Drosophila melanogaster: one gene and its partners. The protein of the gene in region 1 purifies or fractionates together with the protein of each later gene. This does not show direct contact. Each region holds a gene or a part of one and is shown in the gene's direction. Other genes may lie near its edges. The genes, in order: ox, UQCR-14, UQCR-Q and UQCR-11.

The links.
Region 2: the proteins of ox (region 1) and UQCR-14 fractionate together in Drosophila melanogaster (co-fractionation; one study listed by BioGRID). This does not show direct contact.
Region 3: the proteins of ox (region 1) and UQCR-Q fractionate together in Drosophila melanogaster (co-fractionation; one study listed by BioGRID). This does not show direct contact.
Region 4: the proteins of ox (region 1) and UQCR-11 fractionate together in Drosophila melanogaster (co-fractionation; one study listed by BioGRID). This does not show direct contact.

The regions. Positions count from the first base shown.
Region 1 is NT_033778.4:12,756,340-12,761,644, reverse strand, and holds ox (oxen), read left to right. Parts: upstream 1-4,115; 5' UTR 4,116-4,215; coding exon 4,216-4,347; intron 4,348-4,413; coding exon 4,414-4,449; 3' UTR 4,450-4,512; downstream 4,513-5,305. Other genes in the region: Nacalpha (nascent polypeptide associated complex protein alpha subunit), read left to right, coding at 1,130-1,783; Dgkepsilon (diacyl glycerol kinase epsilon), read right to left, coding at 2,127-2,246, 2,302-2,619, 2,676-3,683, 3,742-3,900; mRpL18 (mitochondrial ribosomal protein L18), read right to left, coding at 4,531-5,091. UniProt on the Drosophila melanogaster protein: Component of the ubiquinol-cytochrome c oxidoreductase, a multisubunit transmembrane complex that is part of the mitochondrial electron transport chain which drives oxidative phosphorylation.
Region 2 is NC_004354.4:16,284,433-16,292,730, forward strand, and holds UQCR-14 (Ubiquinol-cytochrome c reductase 14 kDa subunit), read left to right. Parts: upstream 1-1,855; 5' UTR 1,856-1,977; coding exon 1,978-2,017; exon of another isoform or gene 2,018-2,132; coding exon 2,133-2,180; exon of another isoform or gene 2,181-2,243; coding exon 2,244-2,491; 3' UTR 2,492-2,556; downstream 2,557-8,298. Other genes in the region: eas (easily shocked), read left to right, coding at 1-329, 590-671; CG32576 (uncharacterized protein), read right to left, coding at 1,658-1,702, 2,726-2,807, 3,526-3,704, 3,793-3,884, 3,951-3,975; caz (cabeza), read left to right, coding at 4,519-4,525, 4,595-4,726, 4,794-4,890, 6,625-6,659, 7,509-7,678, 7,763-8,211.
Region 3 is NT_037436.4:17,473,470-17,481,866, forward strand, and holds UQCR-Q (Ubiquinol-cytochrome c reductase ubiquinone-binding protein), read left to right. Parts: upstream 1-1,579; 5' UTR 1,580-1,666; intron 1,667-1,750; exon of another isoform or gene 1,751-1,855; coding exon of another isoform or gene 1,856-1,918; exon of another isoform or gene 1,919-1,940; 5' UTR 1,941-1,950; coding exon 1,951-2,125; intron 2,126-2,181; coding exon 2,182-2,276; 3' UTR 2,277-2,655; downstream 2,656-8,397. Other genes in the region: SecCl (secretory chloride channel), read left to right, coding at 223-602, 667-909; CG46525 (uncharacterized protein), read left to right, coding at 1,856-1,918; CG34250 (uncharacterized protein), read left to right, coding at 2,842-3,002, 3,100-3,157; CG13733 (uncharacterized protein), read right to left, coding at 4,480-5,337; qjt (quijote), read left to right, coding at 5,893-6,594; CG6333 (uncharacterized protein), read right to left, coding at 6,776-7,396.
Region 4 is NT_037436.4:25,116,317-25,124,619, forward strand, and holds UQCR-11 (Ubiquinol-cytochrome c reductase 11 kDa subunit), read left to right. Parts: upstream 1-4,432; 5' UTR 4,433-4,502; intron 4,503-4,561; 5' UTR 4,562-4,585; coding exon 4,586-4,669; intron 4,670-4,727; coding exon 4,728-4,901; 3' UTR 4,902-5,055; downstream 5,056-8,303.

The DNA.
Region 1 (5,305 bases):
CAGCGGAGTCAAATTTGTAAGTGAAATCATGCACCGAGTGTGGAGGCACTCGCCTTATCAGGCATGTTCAATTAATTAAATACTCCTCCAGGCGTCTGCACGTGAAGGAGCACTTCGAGAAGCGTTTGTAGAATGCACTGGCAAACTGAAGATCGTCATCTTCAAGTGACAGACTGGGTGGGGAAGAAAAGCCGTCAAACATTCGATTGTGAAACCATTCATTCGTTTAATTTTACTATTTAAGCAGTGCAGTTATTGCTAGTCACTGCAGAAATTAATCATGCCACTGAGCCTAATCTGTGATGTTCCTTTCCTTCCCTTTGAGTAAGCCACTTAAAATGTTGCGGTGTTATCAATTTGTTTTTAATGTTTTTCTTTTATGTAAAATTATAACTGCATTATCAAAAACTAAAATATTACGTTAGTAGAAGATTGCAAGCAAAGGTGACCCAAACAGTGAACTACACCTTTGAAAAAATATTTAACACTTGCTTTGAATAATTACGAAAAAGAACTAGTTTCTTGGGATATTATTGCTTTTTAAGCTACTCCCATAATTGTTTATAGTTCGATTATTTCAGCAAGCCTTGATAGTCAAATTAAATTATAAATTTTTAGTCATAGTGCTTTACTATAGAGGTGAAAGATTAAAAATGTATTTTGAAACTGTCATTTTTTTGAAAGTAACGTAATTATGAAATAGAGTAGCCACAAAGTTTGAATTTGTCATACTTCATACGCATACGTTCACACTGACAGAATATATCGCTTGGATTTAAGAAAAATCGTGCTAAGCGACAGTCACACTCCCCTCCGCCATATTTCTTTTCTTCGTTTCCGGTAGGTGTGTGTACTCCGCATTTTTCGACTTCAATTTAACTTTTGCCGAAATATCAGTGAATTAGCGCCTTAAATTATGTAAAATATCATAGTTAAGAGTTAGATCTACGGGGGTAGCGAATTATTGATTTTCCAATTGAACTTGAAAAATCAATACCAACTGACCCCCGCTGAGACACATCGCTGAGCCTTTGAACCGGCACCAGATGTTTTCCCTTAGCATAATTGATACTATTTGCAAAGCAATTACCTAACCTCGTGTTCTCCACTTGCTTCCCCACAGATTAAAATGCCCGAACTGACCGAAATCAAGAGCGAGGCTGCGCCCTCCACCTCCGCTGAGGCGAAACCCGAGGACGTCCGCGTTGAGGATGATGGCAGTGATAGCGACTCCGATGGTGGCATGCCTGGTCTGGAGGAGGCTGTAGCGGCCACCACACAGCTGGGTGGAGGTGCCACCGGTCTGCCCATCGACCTCGTCTCAAAGGCCAAGCAATCGCGCGGCGAGAAAAAGGCCAGGAAGATCATGCTGAAGCTGGGACTTAAGCAGATCCAGGGCGTCAACCGGGTGACGATCAGGAAGTCGAAGAACATCCTGTTCGTGATCAACAACCCAGATGTGTACAAGAACCCCCACAGCGACACCTACATCGTGTTCGGTGAGGCCAAGATCGAGGATCTGTCGCAACAGGCCCAGGTGGCTGCCGCCGAGAAGTTCAAGGCCCCGGAGGCTGCTGGCGCTGCAGACAGCGTGGGCGCCACCACATCGGTGGCCCCCATTGCCGAGGAAGACGAGGAGGATGTCGATGACACCGGCGTGGATGAGAAGGATATCGAGCTGGTCATCACGCAGGCCAACACGACGAGGGCCAAGGCGATCAAGGCTCTGAAGAACAACAACAATGACATCGTCAACGCCATCATGGAGCTTACTATGCTTTAGAGCGGGCTTCAGCGTTAGCTGCACTCCTGATTTTGTTGTTTACCCGCCTTTCGATAATACTGACCCAAATGTTGTGCATGCCCCTCAAGGGGCAGCATGTTACACCAGTCGAACATTTAATTATATTTCAAAAGATTGCGTCTTAATAAAAATGGATTTATTTCAAATCAAATACGATTGCGTGTATTTTTCGACTAGTTTCGGTTTTCCACTAGGTGGTGTGGGTGTCTTTACTTGCCTTGCTAACCGAATTCGATTAAGTATACATTGAGGTTCCAGGTTAAGTACTTTGAGATTAGGGACTGGCACATAAGGGATTCTATTCTGTATTAGCTATTAATGTTCAGGTTGCAGCCAGCTTGAGGACGCGGGCCTGACTACGCGAGGAGAGGCGAATATCCGCTGGACTCTGCATCCAGGGTTCGCCATCCGCCTGCATTGGCACGGTCTCCTTGACTTGTAGCTAAAAAAAAGATTGTTGGTTAACAAATATTCGGTTCCATCACTGCAGGGCTTACCCTTATTTGCTTGGCTTGGCCAATTCGCACTGGTTTGCTTATATTGCACTGCAGTTGGGCAATGTGGAAAGAGGAAACAATGCCGAACACCTCCATCATACCATCGGAGATGGAGTTTACAATGCGCACTTCACCATTGGCGTTGCTTAGCTCGCAGAGCTTGCAGCCAGCTCCCCATGAGTCGATATTTAGGAACACCAGCGCCTGCAGCTCAGGCAGTTGCACTGGCTTGTTGTCCAGATACAAGGTCAGCTTTTCCTCGATGTGTTCGCAGCCAGGTTGCATCACCTGTTGCGTTCCGAAGGTAAAGTACAGCAGCTGACGAGATGGATACATTAGTTAACGTTAAGTAAGCACACTAGATTGTAGCCTACCTTATTGAATATTCGACTGCTGAGCAGATAGAATCGAGATTCGCGCGTCTTGTGGAAGTTGTAAGTGATGTACGCATCCACACCTACACTGAAATAGTTGTACACATGAATCGTCTTCGTGGGATGCCTCTGAATAGGCAGTCGATAGTGCAGTTTCTCTATTTGCAGGTCAAAGCGGTCGAGATTCACGGAACGTGCTCGCCGTATGCTCCTAAGGATCTTCACCGGGTCGAGAACAGAGGGCGGCTCTGCTCCCCAGCCCAGAACTCGCGACAAATCGTTGCCGGTGCCCAGCGGCATGATGGCCACCGAGGGCTGGGGCTTGATATTCAGCGTATAGATTGTATTGAGCACCCAACCGATGGTGCCATCGCCGCCCGCCACCAGTATGCGACACGGGCGAGGACTGGCTTTGGCGGCCCACTGCAGGGCGTCCTGCGGACCCCTCGAGCCCAGTTCCATCACCTGCAGCGGATGCAGGTAACCGCGGAGCAGGGACAACACATTGGCACCCGTACTGCTGCCCGACTTGGTGTTGGCGATCACAATAAGCGGCTCCCAGTTCTCAATGTCTGGCGGCGTAATGCTGGCCAAGTGGAGCCGCATCGAGTCTCTGGTTCGGGCGGCCACAAAGCTGTATGGCGGGAAGATCATGTCCTTGAACTCGCCCAAGTCGCAGGCTTCCATGGAGTCAGCGCGAGTGTAGCAATCGTTATGATAGCACCGCTGACACCATGCACATCGCCATCCGTATAATCCTGGATCGGTGCTGACATGGTGATCCACCTCCTCGTTGCAGTCGGCACAATGCACTCCCATAGGCAGATTGCCATGCACCCACAAGTGCCGCACGGAGGACTCGTTGCGCAACCACTTGTCCTTGCACCGGTACTCCCTGTCCGCCCTCCGCTGGCAAGGGGGCGTGGCATGGGTGCACAGGCCGCAGCAGTCGCAAAAGAGTCCTGCGGAGGGGGTTAGCAGGATCTCGCACACATTGCAGAAGCAGGCCTAGAATGAAGGGCATGTATCCTATGGTATCTCTTTCGCGGCAAGTGAATCCGCTCACCTGTTCCAACACTTTTATTGATTTCCAGCTGTGACGTGTTTTGAAGGTGCTCACAAAGTCCTCGGAAAGCAGGCTGCGGCAGAAGGCAAAGAGGATACTGAGGGCCAGCAGGGATCCTATCAGCGCCTCCACGCTCAGCTCAATAGTGCCTATGTCCATGGTCCACGCAGATAAGGCCCAATTACGCTAAATATCCTGGTAATTTGGCATATTCACAAATCGTTTGTTTTTGCCCCATCGACCAGTGTGACCGCTTCAAAGACAACAAAAAACACCTTCGACCTCAATTAAAAACACTTTTCAAGAATAAGCACTAATGCGTAATTTCGATAGGCGGAGTGACACTAGTATTTAGATTCAGGACGTTTCCAACACTGCTTGTCAACTCAACCTAACAAATCAGCTGTGAGTTTGGCGTGTGGAAAAAGTTTGATTGGGAACAAATCGGACGTCTTTAACAAAAATCTAGCCAACATGAAGGTTATCTACAACACCCTGTTCAAGCGCACCTCCACCTACGCCGTGGCCATCATCGCGTCGGCCTTTTTCTTCGAGCGCGCTCTCGATGTCACGTCGGTTGCGATTTTCGAGGGCATCAACAAAGGCGTAAGTATAATCCTGTTATGTAAGCAAAGTTTCCTGGCCAAATCTCAAGATTTCCCCGCTTTGCAGAAACTCTGGAAGGACATCAAGGGCAAATACGAATAAATTAACATGATTTGTTGTAATTAGCAATAATAATCAACGTTTATTCTAAACGAAACGATAACTAAGTGTGGTTTCTTTTGGTTATTTTGATTTGGGTGCTTCCAGTGCGTCTTCCGACACCTCCCAGGGCTTCTCATGCCTCTTCTCATCCCAGGGCTGCTCGTTGGGCAGGCGAGAGGGTTCCTTGAAGGACACCCCATTATCCTGAATGGTTTGAAGCAGCTTCTGCAGCTTGCTACCCGGTACCGCCTCCACGTTGCAGGTCATTTCCGTGATCCCAGACTGCAGGCAGCGCTGTGCGAGCACTCTGCCGAGATTTACAAACGCAGATGTGTCGTTGGTCTTGTACAACTGCTGTTTAATGGCCCATTCCGAGGTGCTGGCACTCAGGATGGTTCCATTCTCAAAGTGCTTGACATCGCCGCTGACATAGCGGCCGCTGGTGTTGATTTCCAAAGTGTGCCAGTAGGAACGACCTGGTTTCTCCAGATGATAGCCTACCGGCTTGTAGGCAATGCGTAATCTTTCCAAGTTCCGTGGATTCCGGTTGATCACGTATTCAGTGCTGGCTTGCGGGGTTGTTAATTCCTTGATTTTGTGCAGTACACGGGCGGAGGTGAGGGGGCGAGCACTGCGAGACATTTTTGCGATGGAAACCCGAAAAAAGCGCGCGTTTAATTGATATTTATGTGGAAATTACAAAACCACGATAAAATATTTTGAGCTGCCTTTAGTGTTACCAGACTGCCAGAACTGAGTGTGGGTAAACGATTTATTGGTGCTGTAAAATGTCCAAACATCAGTTGGATGTAAATGGCAAAAAACAGCTGTTTCAGATTGGTTTATCCTCAAATTT
Region 2 (8,298 bases), on another chromosome or scaffold:
GTGATCTATACGCAGAGCCTGAATACGGTGAACTTCATCGACTACGAGTATGCCGATTACAATTTCCAGGCCTTCGACATTGGCAACCACTTTGCGGAGATGTGCGGCGTGGATGAGGTCGACTATTCGCGCTATCCGAAGCGCGAGTTCCAGCTCCAGTGGCTGAGGGTCTACCTTGAGGAGTACCTACAGCGCAGCAACATTCAAAACGACGAAGTCGAACTGCTCTATGTCCAGGTCAATCAGTTTGCGCTGGCATCGCATATCTTTTGGACGGTGTGGTCCCTGTTGCAAGCCGAGCATTCCACTATCGATTTCGACTACGTAGGGTGCGTGTTGCATAGTATATGGACTGTAACTTTGAGTTGGGAATGCACGATGCAATTAGATGATAAATCCTTTAGATATATAGATATATATCATCAGTATATATATCAGTTTTGTTTGATAAGATCCATCAACAACCATTAGACGGCCATTATAATGGATTTATTATATTATTGTGCACCCTGCAATTCCTTTTTTCCCCCAATTACGACCCTTACAACCAATCGATACTAATGACCAATTTTTTATTCGCCCCATTTAGCTATGCATTTCTTCGTTATAATGAGTACTTGGCTCGAAAGGTGGAGTTTTTGTCATTGACTGCAGCTAAGAACAATAAGTGATTTCTCTCTCCCGGCCACTCAGCGCATTGGGAGTTACTACATTATGTGCCCAGTGATATATGTATAAACTAAGGCTGGAACGGGTCTCAATGTTATACATATGTATATATATAACGTGTGTTCAGAAATCAGAAACAAAAACCGAAACAAACTTAAATTAGTGTCGTGTTCGTGCCAGCCTTAGTGTATGTACAGTGCTCACTCGAAACAGTGGACTATTGAGAACCAAGGGTGTGCACTGAATCGAATTTGTTCACTATAACGAATCACAGAAAAAATAAACAATTTAATATATTTTTCAAAAACACCACGTTTGAAAAAATTTAATTTTTTTACTAAGTTAAGCGAAAGTTTCTAAAATTTCATAAATTAATCGTTCACTTTTACTAAAAAGTTCACATATTCGAGTGTTCACTCTTAAGGGAGGGCACTGTATATATAAAGAATTTGTATATGTTCTTTAATTTGTATAAATTGATATTTTGTAGTCATAATAAAGCGAAGGTATGTACTTTAAAATAAAAACGCTATCAATCATTTTAATGAAGGGTTTACCGTTGGCGGGGGCTTATCGCAAAAAATTGGGGAAATATTATTTAAATGAGAAGTAGGGATTTCCGCTTGTCGAAGCACTCCGCTAATTACCAACATTTTTGCCTTTTTTGTTTGCTGTTTAATATACAATACCCGTGTTGCAAGTTAAGTGAAAGTTGTATATCTTCAGGCATCATTTTTATAATTAATTTAATCGAGGTTATTGGTTAACATAAATTATAACTTAACCCAAATTAAAAACCTTTTTTGAGTGTTTCCCATAACAAATTACAAAAGGAGAAAGCCACAATCATTCGGTTTGATAAACTACAAGTATTTTGTTTATGAAGGCGGATTTTTACATGGGCTTAAATGGGTTTACAAGAATTTGAATTGATTTTATTTACTTTATACAAAAAGTTATTGCAAAATGACCAACTTTGGAGATGTAATTATACTGTAGTTCGGTTGCCGTCTCCACCAAGTTTTTGAACAATCTAAATACAAATACAAAAGGGTAAAATGTTAAAAGATAATATATTTAATAGCTCTAAAACTAAAGAATAACGAATTTTCTTGAGTGCGATATATCGATAGGTGCAGTGTGTCTGTATTACATTTCGGAAATCGATTTGTACAAACGCAACCGTAGTGCTCGTTGATCGATAACGGGGTGCGATAGCTATCGAGAGACCCATCTCCAACGTTCTCATACCTAAAATAAAAAGGCTGGAGGAATATCTCTTTCCCGACTTCTGATTTTACGTAAACCATGTCGAACTATATTGCCAGAAAGGGACCCGCAGTTCTCTGTAAGTAATACGAACGGGCAACAATCGGACTCACGTTGCATGCAACAAATTTCGTAGTGCAGTACGCCGGAATATTATGATTACGTAAATATGTAATGCGAATTTTTCCCCACAGCAAATCTGGGCAGATGGGCCTACAATCTCTCCGGATTCAACCAATACGGTAGGACTACTATATAACCTAGTGATTCCTAACAGCTGAGCTTGATGCCATCGATTTTTGCAGGTCTGCATCGCGATGATTGTCTGTATGAGAACGAGGATGTGAAGGAGGCCGTGCGCCGATTGCCCAGGAAGCTGTACGATGAGCGTAACTACCGCATCATGAGGGCCCTCCATCTGTCCATGACCAAGACCATTCTGCCCAAGGAGCAGTGGACCAAGTACGAGGAGGACGTCAAGTATCTGGAACCCTACCTCAAGGAGGTCGTGAAGGAGCGCGAGGAGCGTGAGGACTGGGAAAAGATCCACTAAACGCGCCACTAAATCCCTCTACTTTGGACTTGTAAATGTTGAAATACATAGCTTAGATAAATACCAAAATTGGCTATGAAATCGAGTCTGCGTGGTCGTTTGGGAATGTGGACCCTTCAGTTTATTTCAATGGGCTTTCGCGTCAAGGCGAGATGAGCGCGTTAAGTGATCATGAGTATGGGCTATTTGCTATGTTATATTTTTTATTTTTTGTGAGGCTCCATGCTACCTTACCTTTTGTATAAATGGTAAATTAAACAGCGATCCTAAAACAGGCACTCGGCCTAGGAAATTAATGGCCACGGGGAAGAAGCCGCTGAAAATATAAAGAGAAGGACATTAATAAGTAATAAGTAAACGACAAATCACTAAAAGAAGTTACTTCCACTTGTATTGCCATCTTGCACGTTTCGAAGTTAAGTTAAATTCTTATATTCACTGAATATTTTCCCTACTTTGAATAGATTTCCATTCATTAATCCGATATATATGAAGCAGACCTTTTAACGTTCGTTAAAAGATATTTTAATGAATAAAAAGACCTACATATATTAGGGTAATTATTAAGTTGCACCTTTGGTCGTAACTTATGAAGAAGCATGCAATTGAAAAGGTAAAAGGAGAGAGGTATAGATAGGAAAAAATGTATAAAAGGACAGAACAGAACAAAACAGACAGAAACAGCGAATAGTTATAATGAAGGACATACTTTTTGCTTTCTTTAGCTCTGATCAAATGCTATAAAATCTGATCGAGCTTTTTTTGTAAGCGAATCTGAAGAATTATACTTGGTATTTGCTGTTAATGCCACAGCGTCAAATTGTCCCATCTACATGACTTGCAGTCTTTCAATTAAAATATAAAATATTTCTAAAGGATGTCATCTGACAGCAACTTTGACTGCCAAGCCCTGACTTGCGAATGGTGTATTAAGAGCGGGAAAGCGAAAAGACCATGTGGAGTGCGTAACCGGTTAGCCCCGCTCAAATGGTCTTAAACGAATCCGACTGGGACTTGGCCAGGGTGCTACGAACCTGAAGAGTGCGAAAAATCCATAGGATTCAATAATCATGCCGAAGATGGGGAATCCCAGCAGGACGATGACGATTCCCCCTAAGAAGGCCGTTGTGCCTTTGACTTTGTGCCGTTGGAAGAAAAAGCGCATCGTGCGCTCCACGCCAATGACGCAGGCCAGGCCCGATATGAATAGAATCTGCGGGAAAGAGGCGATTGCTATTATTATAGAGCTCGAAGGGTGTGCTATATGGGGCATATGGTGCATGTGCATGTGGGTAACGTACATTGCCAATGGCGAGCAGTCCTTTATCGAACAGCAGCAGCATGCCGAGAAACAAAAAGAAAATGCCAAAACCAGCCAAGCCGATGCCAATTTCTGCGGGAAGATTTCAATAGGCGGTTTAGTTGCGCTGATGGCTTTCGCATATTAATGGCTACTTACTCTGCAAATCTGATATTTCAATCATTTTGTATTTGGCTCTGCTTTAATTTGATTTCAGAAAAAATTAAATCCACGTAAACACCAATTCAATTTCAAAGCACAAACAGCTGATTTCGACTTTCATTCAAAGTTACGTGCTAACGACTGTAAACAATGTTTGCAGGGATGCAAGCGCTTTAGTGTTGTAAAGCGATCAAGCTGCCGATTAATTATTTAAAACCTCTTGGATTCAGTCCATTTGGATGCAAATAAATGATAAAATGTATTAAATAAAACTATTTTTACCATTTAATACGTATTTTCCCACAAATATAATATTCGGCATATTTGTGTTCCATTCCCACACATTTCAATGATATATAGATAGATATTTCGATAGGCGCTACAAGACCCACACATACCAGCCCCCTTCGACGCACATCCCTAATTAATTTTCACACGCCATTTTACAATAGAATTTGTGACGATCTGACGCTTTCTTCAATTCGAGCAATTTGTACGCAGCGAGTTATTGAAACTCCTGCAATTCTATTGATTAAAAAAAGACTTCACGCAACGTTTATTAAACATGGAACGTAAGTATAATTTTAACACGCGCATAAGTCGCAACGTGAATTGAAAACGATGAAATATGTGCACTCTAGGTGGCGGTTATGGTGGTGGTTCGGGACAGGGATATAATAATTTCGCTGTCCCCCCACCAAATTACCAGCAAATGCCAAATAAAACGGGTAACTACAACGAGCCACCTCCGAACTACGGCAAACAAGGCGGTGGTAAGGCGTGCATGCGAACTTTGTGTTGCGAGCAACACACCAATACTCACAAACTTATGTTTTTAAGGTTATGATTCCGGTTCCGGTCATCGTGGTTCTGGTGGCAGCGGCAACGGTGGCGGCGGCGGCGGATCATGGAACGACAGAGGAGGCAATTCCTACGGGTATGTTATCCACTTTTAGTATTTCGCTGCTGTTGAGTTACAGCGAGGCTATTTAGATCATGGGTAGTAGTCTTTCACGGAGGTTTTTTAAGTGTTATAAGAGAAGTGTACGCATATATAAATATTTACAAATCAATCCAGCCAAACCAATGAGAAAAGACACCGAGCCACTCCTTGAAACATGAAGCGTATTTTAAAGATATTATTGAAATGCAAGAGATGCACTGTGCTGCATCAGAGTGTGAAACTGCTTGAAGCTATTCCTGCAACTACGACTTGTTCCGACTGCTTAAAAACGCAGAAAACATAAAATTATAACAACAAAAAAAAACGTATCTCCCAATTTGGCAAATTATTATTTATCCGCATGACTGTATTTCATGTACGTTTGTTTTTTTTTCATCGAAAATCTGTGTAAAAATATTAGAAAATGGTATTTCAAAATGGTTTTGACGAGTCAAATGAGTATAATGGTAAAAAAAAAAACAGATGATGCCCTGGGGAAACAAATATCTGCAATGCATAAATAATACTGGTTATACTGAATAAGTAATAATAAGTAATACCACAGTCGTTGCAATCGGAATAATAATGGTCGCCTAATGAAATCTATGATGAATTTGTGATAATTGCATAGAGAATCGCGCACATGTTATTATTATCGTTTTAAACCATACACTATATCATCCATTCCTGCCTTAATACGATACAATGCTAGCATAAACATGTTCCAAAATGAACATTCAAAAAATGTGTGTGTTCCCAACAGGATGGTTATGAAAACCAGATCAAACATGACACAAGTGTAATCGAAGATATAAAGCTAAAAAGAATATAAAAAATATCAACCAGCAATCATAAAATTAAATAAATTGTGGCTCGAGACAAAAACAATAAACAATAAAAAAATTCGATATATTATTAATGCACAGTTCGGAGGAATTGGTATGGTTCTGAGACTCTAATCATCTTAAGGTATTTACGTATACAAAAATAATAACAAATTTTAATTATTAGCTATTAAGGTTATTACATATGTTTATACACATAAGAAAGCAATGATTTTGCGCCTAAGAGAGAGCTTACCTCTAACAATCTAAATGTAAGATAGTTTTAAGCAATTTGTTTTATATAGTTTCAATCTCATTGACCGTTTTTAAGGTATTTTTTTTGTTTGTGATTTTAACAACTACTAAACTACTAAACTTTTGAATTATTTATCATTTAAGCTTGTTTTATAGTAGTTAAGCAAGAATGTAGGTATGTAGGTAGTGTTGTGTGTTTAATAACGATGGTATTTTGCTGCGATATACCTACTACATACATAAGTGTATTTAACTGGGTCGAACTCCTTCCTTCCCTCTCATTTCTGTGAATTTGGTAAACAAATGCTTTTCCAATAGTAGACTAATGCAAACGTTAAGATTATGTGTATAAGAGTTAGGTGTATGTATGGCAAACAGTATGTACGTTGTCCTCCTTGGCAGTTTGATCAGTGACTGCCGCCGCACTTGGCTCTAATTTTGTGATGGAAAGCAACAAAACGGACATTCGCTGTTTGAACGTCGTCGTCACTGACCGAACTGTGCCGGGTGCTCTATAGATGGTATTAGATGCCATAAGATCGAACAAAGCAATACGTATTCTAACAAGGGATCCTAGGCGTATACCTCACCATACTGCATTAAAACCAAAATCAAAGCATTAAATAAGTTATTCAATATCCTCTTTTAGAAATGGAGGCGCCAGCAAGGACAGCTACAACAAAGGTAAAAATAATGCAAACAATTGCAAACATATCGAGTAATGTATACCAATATTTTTCTACATATTGAACTTGAATCTAAAATCGAAGTAGAACAACAAAATTTTAAACACAAAAAAGAAAACCCAAACCGATTAGAACATAAAAACAGAGTCTAATTCCAAACCAAAAGAGTAAATAATTGAATATGCATATTAAACAAACATCCTCCTTTCCTGGCGGCATTCTTTTCATTGTGGGGCCTTGCCCATTTGAAATTTCGTCGAAAAGTCCACGCATCGTTACCTATAAAGTGTATTTAGCGTACTTTTCCAAATCGTTGATCTCTGTTTGATCAATATATAATGGTTAACGACCGACTCGGTCAGCCCACGGGTATTTAGTATTTAATTTCTGTAAAGTGTTGTATACATGTGTCAAAGCGTTGTCACGAATCAAATCAAGGGTTGGTCGGTCGGGCTAACTCCTGGCAATTTGGGGTCACCTGTTTGTGTTCTTGTGTACCAGTCAGTCTGGCTTTGATAGCTCAAAAGCCGACCGAAACCCGTTCAAAGTGTCCCCATGTCGTCTCTCCCACGGTCGTCCACCCACTAAAGGTTTTTTGAAATACACCTCAAAATTCTGGTTTCACATCTAAGTGTCCTGGTTAAAATGTCACGGAACAGCCGTCTACTTTGGTCCTCACCTTCGTTGCATTTTTTGGTGGTTGCAGTGAGGCGAGAAGTTCTAAGAAAAAAACAAAACAAAAAAAAGAAAATGAAAAAACCAAATATTAATTAAATAAAGTAGCAGTTGCATTCTAAGCTATACCCTGCCGTGCCAGCTCGTCCTTATTTCCCATTCGCTTTTGTAGGACACGGAGGATACTCGGGCGGCGGCGGTGGTGGTGGAGGAGGCGGCGGCGGTGGGTCCGGTGGCAACGACATGATCACCCAGGAGGACACCATCTTTGTCTCCGGCATGGATCCCTCGACCACCGAGCAGGACATTGAGACACACTTTGGAGCAATTGGCATCATCAAGGCAAGTAGTAATGTATTTTATGTATCTGTAGCTACGTTTTAACCTTTGTATCTTTCTATTCCTTTGCAACTGATCTAACAACAGAAAGACAAGCGTACAATGAAGCCCAAGATTTGGCTGTACAAGAACAAGGAGACCGGCGCCTCCAAGGGAGAGGCCACTGTCACCTACGACGACACCAATGCTGCACAATCCGCCATTGAATGGTTCGATGGACGCGACTTCAACGGCAATGCGATCAAGGTGTCGCTGGCCCAGCGCCAGAACAACTGGAACAAGGGCGGAGGCGGCGGCGGCGGTGGTGGTGGTCGCGGAGGATTTGGCGGACGTCGCGGTGGTGGTGGCGGCGGAGGAGGTGGCGGCGGCGGTGGAGGTCGCTTCGATCGCGGAGGAGGCGGTGGCGGCGGACGCTACGATCGCGGAGGAGGCGGTGGTGGTGGCGGCGGCGGTGGCAACGTGCAGCCCCGTGATGGTGACTGGAAATGCAACAGCTGTAATAACACCAACTTTGCCTGGCGCAACGAATGCAATAGGTGAGTTGAGAGTTGAGATATAATTGCTTTCAACATTCCATTCCATCATAATTCCTAAAACTCCACACTTGCTTGTAAATATCGTGG
Region 3 (8,397 bases), on another chromosome or scaffold:
ACTTAAGCAACATTTCGTATTCGAAATCCATAATTAATTTGTTGACCTGCAACACAGTGCGTATGTGTTATATTCATTTAGAACATTGCGCATACGTCATGTTGAGTCATAGAATAAATGATTGCTTAAATTAAAGGAATAATTACAACATCTTAGAAAGAATTTAGTAACTCGAAATGATTATGATATGACTCACTTGTAACTAATATCCAATGCTCTTAGGAACCAGCACCATGTTGTCGTTCATCACGCTTTCCTCATCGCAGAGCAAGAACCTGCCCAAGGTGAGCTACATAAAGGTGTCGGAGGTGTGGTTCCTGGGCTGCACCTTCTTCATCTTCGGCAGCCTGGTGGAGTTTGCCTTTGTCAACACCATTTGGCGCCGCAAGGAGAACATTGAGCTGAAGAAGGTCAACAGCAAGTACATCATAAAATCCACATTGACACCACGACCGGCCCGCCGTCAAATTGGCGGAAGTTTGAGCAACGAGTCCAGGGCTAGATCGTGTTCCAGTTTGGACAACATTGTTTCCAGCACGGAGAGCGTGCGCAATGGCAATGGCACTGTGAATCAGGGCTTCAACAACTATTTGACAGTGCATGTAAGTACTCCAGATCGATGTCTTTCATGAGCTTTCTGTATTTTAACATTTCTCATGTCCTTAGCCCAATTTACCCATCATAAGAACGGAGTGCGCCGAGGCAGATACAGTGTCTATCTGCAGTGCGCGTACGAACAACGATCATATCGTGGATGTGGACAAGGATAAAAAGGACACGCCGCCCACCTTTACCACCATGACACCGCAGGAGATCGCCATGTGGATAGACCGGCGGTCGCGATTTCTTTTTCCGGCCATGTTCCTCGCCTTCAACGCTCTGTATTGGACCTTCGTCTATGTTTTGTAAGCGGATGTAGGCAGATGCCGCCGTTTATGTGAAATCTTGTCTATTTGCGTAGTCCTGATCGCGCAAATAATTGTTAAAGTGTAAGATGCATCATCTCATAGCTGTATAAATGTTAATCATTAATAAAGGTATAAACTATATCTCAACATTCGTATAAAAGGCTAATAATGGCAGGAAAAGTATTCTTGCTTGACAACTCATTTTAATCTAATGCATTTTGAATACAATAAAATTATTTATATGATATTTTACATATATTGAGATGAATGTGCCATCTTTAGTGGGCAAGTTTGAATACTTTGTATGCCTAATCACAGAAAATGAAGTTAAAAAGATAAGTAGCCCTCGATTTTACAATTCCATGTGTCTATTCTGTCTATTAATTTGAATAAATATAATCTTTTCGTTCACGAAATTTAAGTTTTTAAGCCGCTCACATATTTTATTACGGCAAAGGTAAGCAATTATGTTTTACATTATTTTATTGTTATATTTTAATAAGAATCCACTAATAGTTTAAAGATCCGCTATCCACACAAATTAGGTTCAAGTCCACGCTGAAAGTCTACAAAGTTACACATTCTGGTGGTGGCCTGCACTTAGCTTCTGTCCAAGACATCAATCTTAAAAAGCGGCACTTTTAGGACATTTTTCAAAAATAAAGCCTAACTGCTTGGTATGTTCAAGCGGCCCGTCCACGGTCACACTGGTTGAGACGAGTCGAGAGGAAATTGCAGCGTAAAAGTCGAATTTCAAGGTAAAAATTTGGCATCATAATCGGTACAATGGCAGGTGCTGGCTCTAAAAATATGCACAATTATGGGCTGCCAAAAGTGCAGAGATCGCGCCCAGTGTTAGACGTACTCGGCCGCCTTCATCCGCGGAGCAGTGCGAAAATTACATAACCTCCGGGTGCAGCAAATATAGGAGCACCACCTAGGCCATAATGTTTATAATAACGATCTGTGTCTTCATACAAATCCTGGTGCACTTCCTCTGCGGTTGCTAATCAAAGCTTTCCCCATCCGCAGCCCCACAACCATGCGTCTATCCTCGATCCTGAATGGCCAGCATTTTGGCAACTTGGCCAAGGTGCACGGCATCGTCACCTACAAGCTGTCGCCCTTCGAGCAGCGCGCCTTCGCTGGAGCGATCAGCAAGGGACTGCCCAACATGGTGCGTCGCTTCCGCTCCAACGTCTTCATCGTTACTCCCCGTAAGTAAATCGCTCAGGATTCCCGTCGAATCGTATTCTAATACCCAATTTTTCAGCCTTCATCGTGGGATACCTGATCTACGATCTGACCGAACGCAAGCACACCGCCCTGCTGCGCAAGAACCCCGCTGACTACGCGAACGACGAATAAGCGTCCCAACTAGCAGATAGTTATGTTAAACTAATTAATAAAACTAAACCCACAGTTCAAGAGAGTTGTGTGTTTCGGTTGCTGGAAGGCTAAACACCAAAGGCTTTGTACTCATACGTTACACATGGGATAATTTTATGTTCTATTTTATCAGTTTTATTGCTCTGTTTGCTAAACAATTCTAGAGAGAATTTGTTTTTCTGGATGAGCAGCTGCATCAGCTGTTCCCCAGTCTTGGTTTGAGTCCAAGCTATCTCGCCCTGCAATGTCTCAAAATAAAATAACAAAAAATTCATATGATGAGAATTTCAAAGAAAAAACACGACATGGAGGCAATATATTACGTTTTAATAATAAAATAAAAATTTTACTTGTTTTTAATATTCGGTAACGGTCTTAGCATTGATAGTCACCCGCTAGAGTTGCAGAGAATCAATCATCGAAAGTCACCCGAAACAATCGATGAGTGAGAAAAGTAAATAGCCCCACCTCTAGCCACCGCACAGCTGTTTGCAAGCAAAATATTGGCGTTCTAATTGGTTATTGATCCGATATTAGTGCATTAATGGACTGCTGCGGTAACGAAGTGCGCAGCGAAAGTATCCACAACATGCTACAGGCCCTGGTGGACTCAAAGGTGGTCAACGTGCAGCTTTTGTCGATTGCCGTGGGCATTTTCTTCGTGGTCATGCTGCTGAAAAACAATTTTCGCAGCTTTTCTGTCACGTAGATGGATCCAGTTTAGTGTTTAATATATCTCATAATGTAATGTACGCTAAGGATTAATAATAACTACCACAAGCCACCTTGCATCTTGTTTCAGTTCTATGGTTTTTGGAGCACTCCTCGAGGCAGTGACGTCACGTACATTATATGTGTAATATTTTGGGTGCTAGAACGTACTCGTGCTTTTTTCGGTCTCAGGGTCATCGTGTTATTTCGTAGGTGTTTGCACAACAACACGCCCAACCCCAAAAATATAATTGTTTTCGAAGGCCGGGTGAACTGGTTTGACTGCCCCCGAGACTTCCACGGATCGTGCAAAAAAAAAGAAGAAAAAAATAGAGCCCAGAATTTGTTAATTTCATCATCAGGCGACTGTGATTCTTGGCAAGCTGTCTTGCGATAAGATAGGTTATTCGAATACTCGAAGTAAGTCCTACTTGGAACAGGCATTCTCATCCAAAAACTGTTGAACTTTTGCCCCAATTGCCGGAGTAGAAGCCATATCCAATCACACTCAATTGCTATCCACAAACGATTCCAATTGACCGGCGATTGATTGCCCAATGTCTGCACGCACTTCCTGGTGCAGCATTAGAATTCAATAGACGCCCGACTTCAGCTGGCTCCATTCTGCAATCCCGTACTGACTCATTGCCCGGCACTTTCAGAATTTATGCAATACTGCGGTACGTGCTCTTATGCTAAAATATTGCATTAGAACACCCAGCGAACGTGACTTGATTGCAGGGCTAGAAATAGCAGCACTACCTTTAAGCCCTCGGATAAGCCACTGAGACAAGTCTACCTATTCTTCTGATTAGTGTTGCTTATACGAACATGAAGGATCCCATAAATATTCTTAAACATCAACTGATAGTCCTGCAACTGTCTAATCCTTCATATAGCCTGAAAATCTACCTAACTTCACAGCTTACTAATATAAACAAAAAAGTTACATCTTTAGTAGTTTATTATTAGTTTATAATAATCAGAGAACATATGCATTTCTTAGAAATTTCCGTGAATAAATGACCATTATTACAAGCACAACTTACGCATTAAACAATAATAATTGATTGATTAATACATATTCATATGTATTAATTACATCATCGGATCATTCAAACTTTCCCAACAAATGCAGTTAAGCTATTGCTTACCACACAAAATAAATCAAAATAAAGCCATCCATTAAGCCGGATCATTAACCCGATTCCATACTGCTGAATGGATAATCCAGCAGCTTGTCAATGAACTTGTAAATCGGGAGTTCCAGGAACTCCGACGCCCGTCGAAAACGAAGTGCTGACTGAAGTTCCGTTTGGTTAGTTTAATCATTTACTGTTCATAAGAGATCTATATATGTATGTACATAACAATTTTTACAGAGATATTCGGTTACAGAAGAAATTTTGTAAAAAGCTTATCTAAAAACCATAAATTTGAATATCCATCAGATAATGGGTACGAAATCAGATCATCCCTCGACAGTTGACTGTTGCTGGTTACTTAACTTATTTTTCAGCGCAGAGGAGAGGCAGTCCAAGTTATGGGATCGAATTTTTGAAGACCTGGGATTCGCCTCAAAACTTGGTGGCTTATCAGAGCCCGCCGAGCTGGAATCTTCCTTATCGCCTTCGCCAAATTTCCGTTTCTTGCGATGCTTTATTTGATCACTCGGCTTGGGCATTGGTAGCTGTTCGGAAGGGATCGATCTGACATCAGCTTTATCGTCATGGTTGTTGTGAATCTTCTGATGGCGCGTTTTTTTAACTTTCTTCTTCTGGAGACTTGCCATGATACTTATCATTTCCTCCTGCTGGGCTTCGTACCTGGAGATGATGGCGTTCCGGCGCTCCAGCTTGGCGGTGAGGAAACCGACTTGGTTCTTGAGGCTGTCCACTTCCCCAGCCTGCTCGGCAATGGTCTTCATCTCGCGGCGCACCCGCTTCATCTCCTTTTCCACCAGTTCGGCATTCTGCCGGACTTCGGTCATACGTTGCTGGTACTTGTTACGTGTGAGATTGATCTGCTCCTCCAGGAAGGCAATGTACTTCTCCTGCTTAGCCACGTGCTCGTCAAGTTTCTCCAGCTGCTGGCTCAACACTGAACACTGCTCGGCTCCACCGCACTCCCGCTCATTCCGATTCGATTGAGCTGCGGCTAGTTCGCTCTGTAGAAGCTGGATCTCCTGTTCCATACGCGCCTGCAGAACCACCTGCTCCTGCCGATACTTACGATGTTGGTTGTGCTTGGAGCGCAGCGAGGACACCTCGCTCCGCAGGAGAACCACCTCGTTCTCCAATCGGGCTTTGGCTCGATCGTGGTATGGCATCGCGCTGGACGAATGAAATTTTGGTAGTCCAAAACACACGGCTTGTCTATTGGAAAATTGCTTCAAGATTGGGGTGTCTATTGGGATTTTGAAGGCATTCAGTGGGGAATCCGAGATCTGACATTTAAAAACTTAAATAAAACGTTGTTATGCAAGCATGCTCCGGTAATTGAAATTTTTTTTGATTACGCAATTCAATGGCAACCTTCGATATTTGTTCCCCTGTAAATAAGATCTGATTTGATATAAAAAAAAGGCATTTACTTTTTATTTCGACCAGATAAAAGTGCCCGTTTTACAAATCGAAAAATTCGAACGAAACGAAAACCGAAAAATCTGTGCTTTCGATTTAAGATCGATATCGTAAATTACGATAAATTCTCGATGATTCCAGTTTTTAAGCGATTACATTCCACGTGGCATTTGCTTAAAAACCTAATTTCAGGTAAATATCAACGTTATTTATAAATATAAGTCCATTCAAAGACCACTAATTAATAGGCTAGCCTAACTAACCATCAGTCTTGAACATTTGGCTTAAATATTCTGGATAAAATGGAATTCAATTACCTTGCTGATTCCGCACTTTCCACTTTAGTGGAAAACAAAAAGTTCTTCAAGGAAATGTCAGATTTCGTGTCCGATTTCAGCGATGGCGGGAAGATCAAGAAGTTGCTCGAGCAGAGCGTTGAGCAGAGCGTGGAGCACGCCGTGAATGTAGTCCATATGAAGATAAAGCACCAATCGCTCAACAAGGCTATGAATCAGGTCAAAAACTCTAGCGCCACCATCGAGGAGTTCGAGGAAGTCTGGAAGGAACGCTCCAAAGCGGTGGAGCAGAAGCGCATCAATGTCAAGAATCTACACGAGTTCAAGAACTTCGTAAAAGCAGTTGAATCAGCAGCTGGTCAGGCGGGTGCGGAAGTCAATGATCAAGCGAATGGCACCGCCTATGATGAGGACCTTATTATGGAAGACTCCGGCAGCGAGGTCTTCTCGTTCTACGATCCCTGGTCCAAGGCCCTGATAAAGAACCCCATGCGCAACAAAATGTGCGGTCACATCTACGACCGCGACTCGGTGATGCCGATCATAATGGACCGCATTGGCATCCGATGCCCGGTGCTCGGCTGCGCCAACTTGTGCTACATCCAGCCAGATCACCTGGTCCAGGACGCCAATGTCCAGCAAAAGATACAACAGAGCATGTCTAACGCGATCGTGGATGTAACTGCCTCGGAGGAGGACGAGGAATAGAACAGATAATGATTGTGCCCAACTCCGTCCTTGTTGAGAATTAACTTAGTAAAATAAAATAAATTCATTGTTGCCATTATTTTATTTTATAATAACTTGTACTTCTATTAATACACATATATGCTAATTTAAGCTGACCACAAAACCCAGTGAAACCACAATGTACACACAAGAATACGATTCACAACATATTCCTGTACCTACTTGTGTTTTCATTGGACTTCTTGGTCGAATGCGAAATTTTCTTGGAGTGAAGATACTGGATCAGCAATTGGTTGGCCGAAGATTGCGGCTTCACTTGGATGTCGCTCCTTTGCAGCTTCTCCACGGCACCGAGCATGTCCTGGCAGTGGTGGCCAATCCGCTTGGCCCGATCCCTTTCGACACTGGCCAGCACCTTTTGCAGATGCGACTCCAGCATGATGGCATTGTTCTTGATGGTGGACACCTGGCGCTCATAGTGCGCCTTTATTCTTTTCATCTCCCGCTGCTGCTTCTCGATGCGACGGGCCTGCATAAGGATTATGTCCGCCAGGTTTTGGCGATCGGTGTGATGCTGCTCTGCCTTACAATCCTGCTGCACCAGGACACCAAATTCTTCCTCGGAGATCGGACTTCCTATGCGCTTCAGGCTGGAACTCGTATTCCGACCGACAGTTTGTAGAGACTGCAATGGTTTCCTAGATGGCCTGGAGGACATCTTCTGAGTCTTTTGCCGCGTATCTAAAGTTCTTCGGGAATATGGCCTTTCATTCGGCAAACCAGGCAATCCATCGTTGCAAATCCTCACGCCCTTGGTCATTTTAAACAATAATTTAGCCACTCGTGAATTCGTTCTGACTCTTAATTTTATTCGAATTAGTTCAAATTTTGTCGATTAAGTGAGGGCAAACGTTGTTTCACCTCTAAAAATATTTAATGGTTAATTGAACTCTTAAGGCAATTCTGCGTAATAAATAAGCAACTGAACTGTTTACTTTTTTATGATATAAATGTTCGATTATGAATCATGCAACACTCAAATCTCTGCAAATATCCTCAAATTGGCGGAAAGTGAAAAAGTCGATCACTTTTACCCTTTTTTTTGTAACGATACTGACCAACTAATCTCAGTTATTTGAAAGTACTATAAAAACCACAAGCAAAATGACTGCAATTTGATAAACTCAGGTTCAAGGTGGGCTCATTTTTGGCAAGATCTGGTCAGAGTTTTCATGATTGTATGGGTTGAACCAGAGTTGAAAGTGCCACGCCCATCACTTGAGGCGACCAACCACACGCAAATAACCATATATGTATGTACATACATGTATGCATATGAATATTTAAGTAGGTACAACAAATTTGCACTTCTTGTATACTTATCTTAATATCTCTTAAGTAAATTTGGAAATAAGGAAAAATGTTTGAAGTTTCATACATTGCTGTCTTGGTTAGAGTATTCCAAAACCATTGATTTATGTTTTCTCTGCCTTTTGGTAAGCATAATTTGTATATTTTTGGCCGCGATGCCGCACACTTGATAAGGGTTATCGATATGCCCATGGATATATGCATGCATTATGTGCGACTGATCATTATTTGTTTTCTTCCCATAGCCTGTGCATCGCATTCGCAAGTTGTAAATTATTTGGCAGCAGGAAGCGGATTTCGTTTGGTTTTCGGGGTGTGGAAGATGGATGGATGGTGCTGGCCGGCGAAAAAAAAGACATTCTTAATATCCTGAATACTCATAAATTCAAAGTACCCCCTTGAGCCATAATTCAAGCAACTTCCTCGAATAATTCGATTCACAGTCCTTCA
Region 4 (8,303 bases), on another chromosome or scaffold:
ATAATTATTCTTTTAATTTTTAACATATCTAAATCGGTTCACCATATCTTAAAGATGTCATATGAAAAATTTTAAAGCTACCTCTCTTGTTTTTTAAAGGTTTTTAAAAGCAACAAAGATTTTATGATACGAACACTTTGTGCCTCCGATTAGTTTTCTTGTGAGGGGATTTGAATGGGTGGTCAGTTTTACTAGGTATTTTAATTTTCTTCTCAGTTATTATTTCGATAAATAATTTGATTTTTTTCTCTCTGTGTATGTCTTCGTTCCGAAGGTATCACGCTCTAGTCAGAATTCTCAGAATTGTTGGCTGTTCTCGCTGAATGGATGCCCCACAGGTCGGAGCCATAAGTCCAGATTGGTTTTAAGACGGAGTTGTATAGGAGAGCTTTGAACTCCACGCTAAGTGGAGAGCGAGCATGAGCCAGTGAAGGTTCCTTGCATCTTATTGCGACTTCAGTAGCTTATGTATGTTTTGGAACAATAGCTTGGCTAGTTTAAGCAAAAGTCCATCCAGAAACACTGTCAAATGCCTGCGCGACGTCTAGTAAAATGGCTGTGTAATATTCTCGATGCTCAAAAGCAGTACGAATTTCTGACGTGATTCGATTGGCCTGTTCGATGGTTCCATGTTTTTTCCATGACGAGGGCTTATTCCCAGGAGTAGCATTTTTTCAAATAAATTTTAGAGATAAGTTAGTTACTGTATCGGTCTATATGATGATGGCTGCGTTTTATCTTTTCCTGGCATTGGAATCATTACTATGGTAGATTTTTTCCATTTTTGAGGGAAGTATCCATGCTTGGCGATTGCGTTGAACAACAAGCACATGTGCAGAACATCACACTGGGAGTTCAATAAGGATTTTTTGAGTTATTAGGTCGAAGCCAAAATCGCTTCAGTTGCTTTTTGATAACCTTTGCTAATTCACATAATCTAAGTTTGCTTCTGCTAAAGGAGGGAGAATAATGACTTTATAGCAGGATTTGGTAGAAATAAAATTTGTAAGTGGTCAGCAACTGCTCTGGCTCTTTTCTCATCACTGTCTTTTCTCTACAAAAGGTTCTTAGTGCTGGTGGGCATACGTCACTTTGCACCCGAAACTAGAATATTTTCAACAGTGTCCGTTGACTTGTCTATATTTTCCTTAGCAGATAATGCCGGCGTTAGTTCTATGTGTGATCTGGGTCTGGGATTTTTCTTGGGTCTGCTGGTCAGTATGTATTGGATAGCGTGGTGGGCAGTAGACTGCGGCTAGAGTCATTGAACCATTGTTGAGTAGTTAGACTATGGACGTAGATTGAGGTGGTTTTTATGCGATTTCTGATTAGTATGCCAGTGCCTCCAAGAGCTTTACCATCTGAATGATTTGTGAGGTGCGTTTCTGATAGTAGCATTACTCCAGTGTTTTTTTCGGTAATGAACTGTGTGAGTTCTTGTGTATGAAGTGAATAGATATCCGTAGGGAAGCCAGCATGGGGATTTTGAAGATACAAGAAGTTGTATCAGGAAATTTTGCACGTTTTGATCGTTATGAAATATTTCATGCTTTTCTGTAGGGATAGCATCATAGCTTCAATGCCACTTTGTTCAGTTTGTTGCATATTTGTCAATTTATGTTCGGAATGAGCAGTTCTAGTCGGTGAGGCGGGGACTTCTAGTCCGGATTTTAAGGCGCTAGCGAAGAAAATTCCAAGAGTAGTGCTTGGGACAGTTAAGGGTGGTTGAAACATCGAATGCGGAGAGCAGAAATTGACTTTGTTGTATGTATTTGCTATACGTTAAACCACACAGCAGTATGCCTTGGTGTGGCCGTATTCTTGGCAATCGCCTTCTGCTTTTGTTTTGGTTCTTTTTTTACGTCCATTATTGTTGTTGCCAATGGTCGGTGTTGCAGAATTATTTACAGCTGGCACAGCGATTAGTTGGGCCGCTAACGAAGTTGTTGTTGTGGTAGCAGTGACAGTTTCTAGGGAGGTCACTGCACTTGTTATTGCAGTGTTACAGTTACCCGGAATGTTCGATTGTGGCTGTGTGGGGAGCGGTGTAGGAGAGGCGGTCTTTTCGCTCCGCGAGAGCAAAAGCTTGTTTTTCGAGTTAGTTGAAGGTAAGGGTGCTCGATCATCGAATTGCCCCGAAACGAAAGCAATGTATGCATGGTTGCGTTGTAAAGAGAGACGGCGCTCAACTTATGAAGGCATTATTGGCAGCTTGTGTTACCGCAATTGGCGATTCTAGTTTTAAGGCAGATGGTTCGTCAGTAAATAACTACTCGACTGACATTACTGCTGCCATTGCTTGCAATGTCGTTGAAAGTCAGTCGTGCCTAAACATTGACATTTTCAGCTGAAACATATTCCTAAATCTGACGCTCGCGGACCCAAAGTGTCATCGTTTTCTACCCATAGACTTAATGATTGGCGCTAGTCTCTTCTACGAACTGCTGTGCGTCGGTCAAGTCAATACCACATGCAATTCTAGTGTCTTTGGTCGCACCTACACCTTTGACTTGGAGTTCTGCTGTTTCCTCTGCAAATAAGTCGCTCTCCAATTATTCATCATATTCTTTAGTAATTTATGCATAAACAATACACGACAGCGCCACTCGGTCGGTTGGGCGGGAGGTGTGGCCGTGGGACCCGTGCAATTGATAAAAAAATAAATTATCGTTCGAGATCGCTGCATAGAAATCGTCTTTTCTTTGCAAATAGCTAATAGAAGAGCTTATTAGTTAAACAGTATTAGTTTTGTAAATTTCTAACGGTATTCCTAAAAACTTTTTGCCACGCCCACAAACCGCCAAAAACTGCCTCGCCCACACTTTTTAAAAATGTTTTTATATTATTTCGTATTAATATTAGTCTTTTATCGATTTTGCAAAAAAAAAAGTTTTGCCATGCCCACTCTAGCGTGAACAAACCGCCCAAAACCGACCTTACCATTGAAAAATGTTTGATTCTTCTTCGTTTTATTGTTTGTCTTCCGGCATTTTAATCGGCATACCAAAGACACTTTGGTCACGCAAACACAAACAAAACGCCCAAAACACACTTTTGAACCATTTTAGGTTTTCCTCATTTTTTAAAATTATTCTAGTGTCTTTGTTTACTCATGCGTCTCTAATGTCTCGAATAAACTTTGCAAAGAAGCATCGAATCTATTTTCTGTGCTTAGAAAAGGGACATATGGCGCGGTTCTGTAGGATTGATGGAATTTAGTTTACTGTGGGCTTACAATCCTTAACTGGTCTGCTATGGAAGAATTACGAGGTGAGGCTGACAGGCAGCTATAATATGAGGGTCATCAACATTGACAGCATACAGAGAAATTGAAAATGGCTATGTCAAGATGATACGTACAGTGACAGTGACAGTGTCTGCCACACTTCGGTGTCGAAAATCCAAATGAACCTACCAAAATACGTATAATCTACGTAATCTATAATGACGCAGCCAAGTCCCGGGATTAGGAGCTGCTTCAAGGTTTCTTGCAGTACACGTTCCTGTCGGAAGTGTGTGTACTTCAGGGAAGCAGCAGTCGGGGTCTAAAGATGGCCCAGGAATTGTCGACAGTCGCACTGAGGAATTTTATAAGCTGCCGTGGACCGGTGGCCAGATTGAGGAGTCAAAACGGAGAAGATGTAGAACGAACTGTCATCAAATTAAATGGAATGAAAATTTCAATGCCGGGCAGGAGGCGTATGCGAGCGGATGGTCCACGGGTTGAAGAAGGTACTCGCGCATACTAATAAAAAAATTAAGGTTAGTTTCAAATATTTTAGGTCTTTTTATTCTGCTTTTTACCACACTATGGTTCCTATTCAAATACAAATTACAACAACTATTCAATACAAATTTTATTTGTGTGTGTAATTTTATAGAGAACACGCATAGTTGTATATATCAATAAAGAAGTTTTCGCATCAGTTTTATGAAAACTTTCTATCACTTAAGCATATATTTATTTGATTGCTTTTAATTAGTTATTGTTTAAAAACTAGAGCAAAAAGAACCAAAAAGACAGAGAAGACAACTCTGGCCCACAACGAATTAGTAATTATTAATTTTCAGTAGATATTTTATCCACTTTTTTTATCAGCTTTTAGCTGATTGAATTTCGTTTTAAAAACACCACGTCATTTTTAAATGTTTGCCTCCAAAAACATGTATCAAGGGAATCAGGAAAAAATTATGAAAAGTTTTAAATAAAAGTTTATAGCCTAAAAAAAATTATCTGACCCCCGTCACGGCGGACAACTGGCCAAAAATTATTTTAATTGCTTTGATTGTACCTTGTGTGAACAGATTTTAACATCTAGGTAAAATTGCAAACGGTTCATAAAGATGTATTCTATTGGGGCTAGGCTATAAGCTTAGCTAATTGATATATATGCATAAAATAATCTGTTTTTGTTGGTCTGGCCCTCATAATTCAGGCATACATAAAATACATTGTGATTGCATCATAGCGGTCTTAAAGGTTATAGTTATTTTTCAAAAATGTAATTTACGTTCATATTCATAAAATTTGGTACTATATATGTTTTTGAATTCTGACTAGTTTATTCTCTTTTTAGCATTAATAATGGCTTTTAGGAACTGGTTTTCGCTTCCCGCCGTCAGAGCTGATGACGAAGAGGACTTAGTTGACCCTCAAGCAGTTTTAAGGGTAAAAAAGATTTCTTTACATCATTTAATATAACACTAAACTGATTTTTATGCAACAGGAAAAATGTCAAGCTAAAGGTCACATAGAATCCTTGTACAATAAGTACCAAGAGTGCAATGATCGTGTTAATGGGCGATCCAAAACAACTGAGACTTGCATCGAAGAATTATTTGACTATGTTGCTGAGTTAGATCATTGCGTTTCGCACAGTCTTTTTACAAAGCTTAAGTAAATACCATTAAAGTCAATTCCATTAAAGGGAAGGGCAGTGCTTAAAAATAAGAACATAAATAAACAAATCTCTTTATCGAGTTTTATACGTGTTTTGTGCCTTTTGGTGATCAGAACCTTTTAGAAGCGAAATTGGGTAGGTAATACTACACTAGTGGGCATAAGTATTTGCACGCCTTTGTTTTAATACTAAACCAAGGGTATTCTATTAAGTTGAGGGCTGGAATTTGAGGTGGCCAATCCAATGTTTTTATGCAAACATTTTTCAGAAACAGTAATCAGTTTGGTCTTATAACAGGGAGCATTATCATGCTGGAGTATGAAGGACTCTCCAATCAATTCATCATCATTATTATTAAGGACATCTAAATATTTTATTTGATTCATGTGTCCATCAACAGGAACCAAATCTCCCAAGACAGTGAAGGCTACGCATCCCCAAAACATAACAGACCCTACTGACTATTCTTTGACATTCTGGTGCCAGTTTTTTTCGATATTCCGATATCGAATTTTCGAAATTTAAAAGGTGGAACCATTTGCCCATGTTTTCCATTGCCAGCGCTTATGCAATGCATTTGCGCTGCAAATGTGTCTGTACGTATGTATATATTTATAATACATTGAAGTATTTGTATTGAGTAAAGTAATATGAGTTTACTGAGTGGGCTTCTTTTTTATTTTAGTTTATTTTTATTGATATTGTTTTCATTAAGTGATGCCATCAACTATGAATAAAAAAGTTTTAACGTGTAATTATGAACTACTTGTTTTTTGTTTAGTTACTTAATTTCATAACAAAACTATCTCCCACTGCTATTTTTATTTTGTTATGTGTAAGTCATTATTTTCATTATTCTTTCATTTATACTCTTCATGCATAGTTCTAGTTTTCTTATATGGTACTTCCAATCTTCATTTACTTTCCTTCTTTCCTATATGATAAATCGGCTGCTCTGCCAAAAACTATATGGAAACTATAGAACGGGTTGTATAAAACAATGTACGAAATTCTGAAGCCACAGGTCCCAATCAGTTTTATCAACTGATATGTATTCAACTGATAAGTTTTCAGATGGTGGTGAGCGGTAAATGTTAAATTTTTAATTTTAAAATTTTTGCAAAAATCGTTGATTATTGAGTGCTTATACTCTGTACCCATGAACGTTTTCAATGGACCGTAAGTCAGGATAAAGGATTCGAAAATTGAATTAGCGACTTGCGATCTTATATAGTATTGGTATTGCAACTAAATATTTAGTTAAGTTACAAATAAAGGTGACTGAAGACTCATTACCATTATCCGACTTTGGTAGAGGAGGACCTATATTACCCACTATTACTTTGTCGAAAGCATAGGGGGTTTCTGTTATTGGGGTTTTCCGTATGCTTAGTTATTTTATTTTTTTGCATTTTAGACATTTCTTGTTGTAGGTTCTGATTTCTTTAGACATACCTTCTAAGCCTTTGAAATGTCATATCTTGCAGTAATTGTTTTTCCTTGTTTAAAAAAACAACATTTTATTTACTATCACGTTTTCTATCGATTGCATATGCAAGGATGTTTTGTGCGTTCCTCCTGCGCAATATTTTTGACTACTTTGTAATCGTGAAGTGACTTTCATTATATTACCAGTAATGTCTTTTAATTCTTTGGTGGTTATTCTTTGTAGCGCATCAGCAAAATAATTTTCTTTTCCTCTGAGATCAACTGTAAAACTATATTCCCCCAATTCAAGTCTTATACGAGTCAACTTTGAAAACAAATTGGTGAGTGATCTACGATCTGCTTTGACTGTAAAATGTTTACCGTAAATATAGGGTCTAAAGTGGGTTATTGGTCAATGTATTGCTTTTAACTCCTGTTCCAATCTGCTTGTATTGCTTTCACCCTTTTTTACAAAGAGCCTATTGGCCAAACAACCAGCGCGACAGGCAGGTTGGAAAAGTTTGCAGTCATACGACGAACCAAAATTCGGGGGCGGTTAAAAAAAACCCCATTTTGTTAGAACTCCAATGTTTGTTAGAACTCAAAGTGGTTTCTTTAAACAAAAGCCACACAAAAGTGCAGGTAATGGGCAAAGCCAACTGGCGCTAGAGCCAATGGAAGTTGACCCCTCCTCCCGGTCCAAACAAACTACAAGATGGTAATGAGGGCGGTCAGCACGGTCTCAGCAAAGAAGATAATGACTTCGTTGCCCAAGCAAGCGCCATAGAAGTAGAGGACGAACTGGATGCAGAGGATCGTGAAATTTTTTAGGGTAAAGTTCCCTAACATTACACGTAGGGTGGCTGGAGGAGAAATAAAACTATTACTCGATACGGGCACCTCAAAAAATTATATTACTCCTCTCCCGGGACAGAAAAACCCTTTACTGTATAGTAAATCCATGGCCAAAATTAATTAAAAATGTCTTGTTTCGGTGTTTAACGTAAAAACACCCTTTTTTATTCTGAACAATTCTAATTCTAAACAATTCTAAACAATTAAATGCAAAACTTGATTTTACCAGAAATGTTCTAAATACTAGTAACGGAACTGAAAAGATCCAGTTTACTAGGGCAGAAAACGTTAGCTTCATTGAAATCGATGATGAAGACGTATTAAAAACTCCTTCGATAAAATGATTGTTAAAAATCACAAAGCCTTCGCTGACCCAGACGGGGCATTACCATTCAATATAAATACTATCGCCACAAATAAAACAGATGGGGAGCCAGTATATTCAAAATCATAGCCGCATCCCATTGGTGTGACTAAATTCATCAATGCAGAGGTTAAACAACTTCTAGCGGACTGTTTAGTAAGGTCATCTAAAATAACTTTACAACCCGACCTGGGTTGTAGACAAAAAGGGAACAGATCAAAACGGGGTAAAAAAGTAACGGCTAGTTATCAATTTTAGAAAACTAAATCAGAGAACAGTCGACGATAAATACCCTATCCCAACCATTTTAAATTTTATTACGACACTTGATCTTAAGTCATGCTTTCACCACATAAAGCTGGCAGAAAAGGACAGAGAAAAGACGGCATTTTCAATAAACAACGGCAAATACGAATTTTGTAGATTACCATTTGGGCTTAAAAATGCCCCAAGCAAAGGGTCATTGACGATGTCTTAAGAGATGGAATTTCAAAGATATGCTACGTGCACGTCGATGACTTCATAATTTTCTCCAAAACAAAGGAAGACCACGTTAAGGACGTGGATTAAGTTTTAAGAAAACTCCTGGAGGCAGGCATGCGAGTATCCCAGGAGAAGTCAATGTTCTTTAAAAAGAGCGTTAAATACTTGGTGTTCATAGTGTCACAATCGGTTCTACGAAATTCACCTGAAAGGGTCGAAGCCATAAAATAATTCCCCATACCTAAAACGCTTTTCGAACTCAGATCATTTCT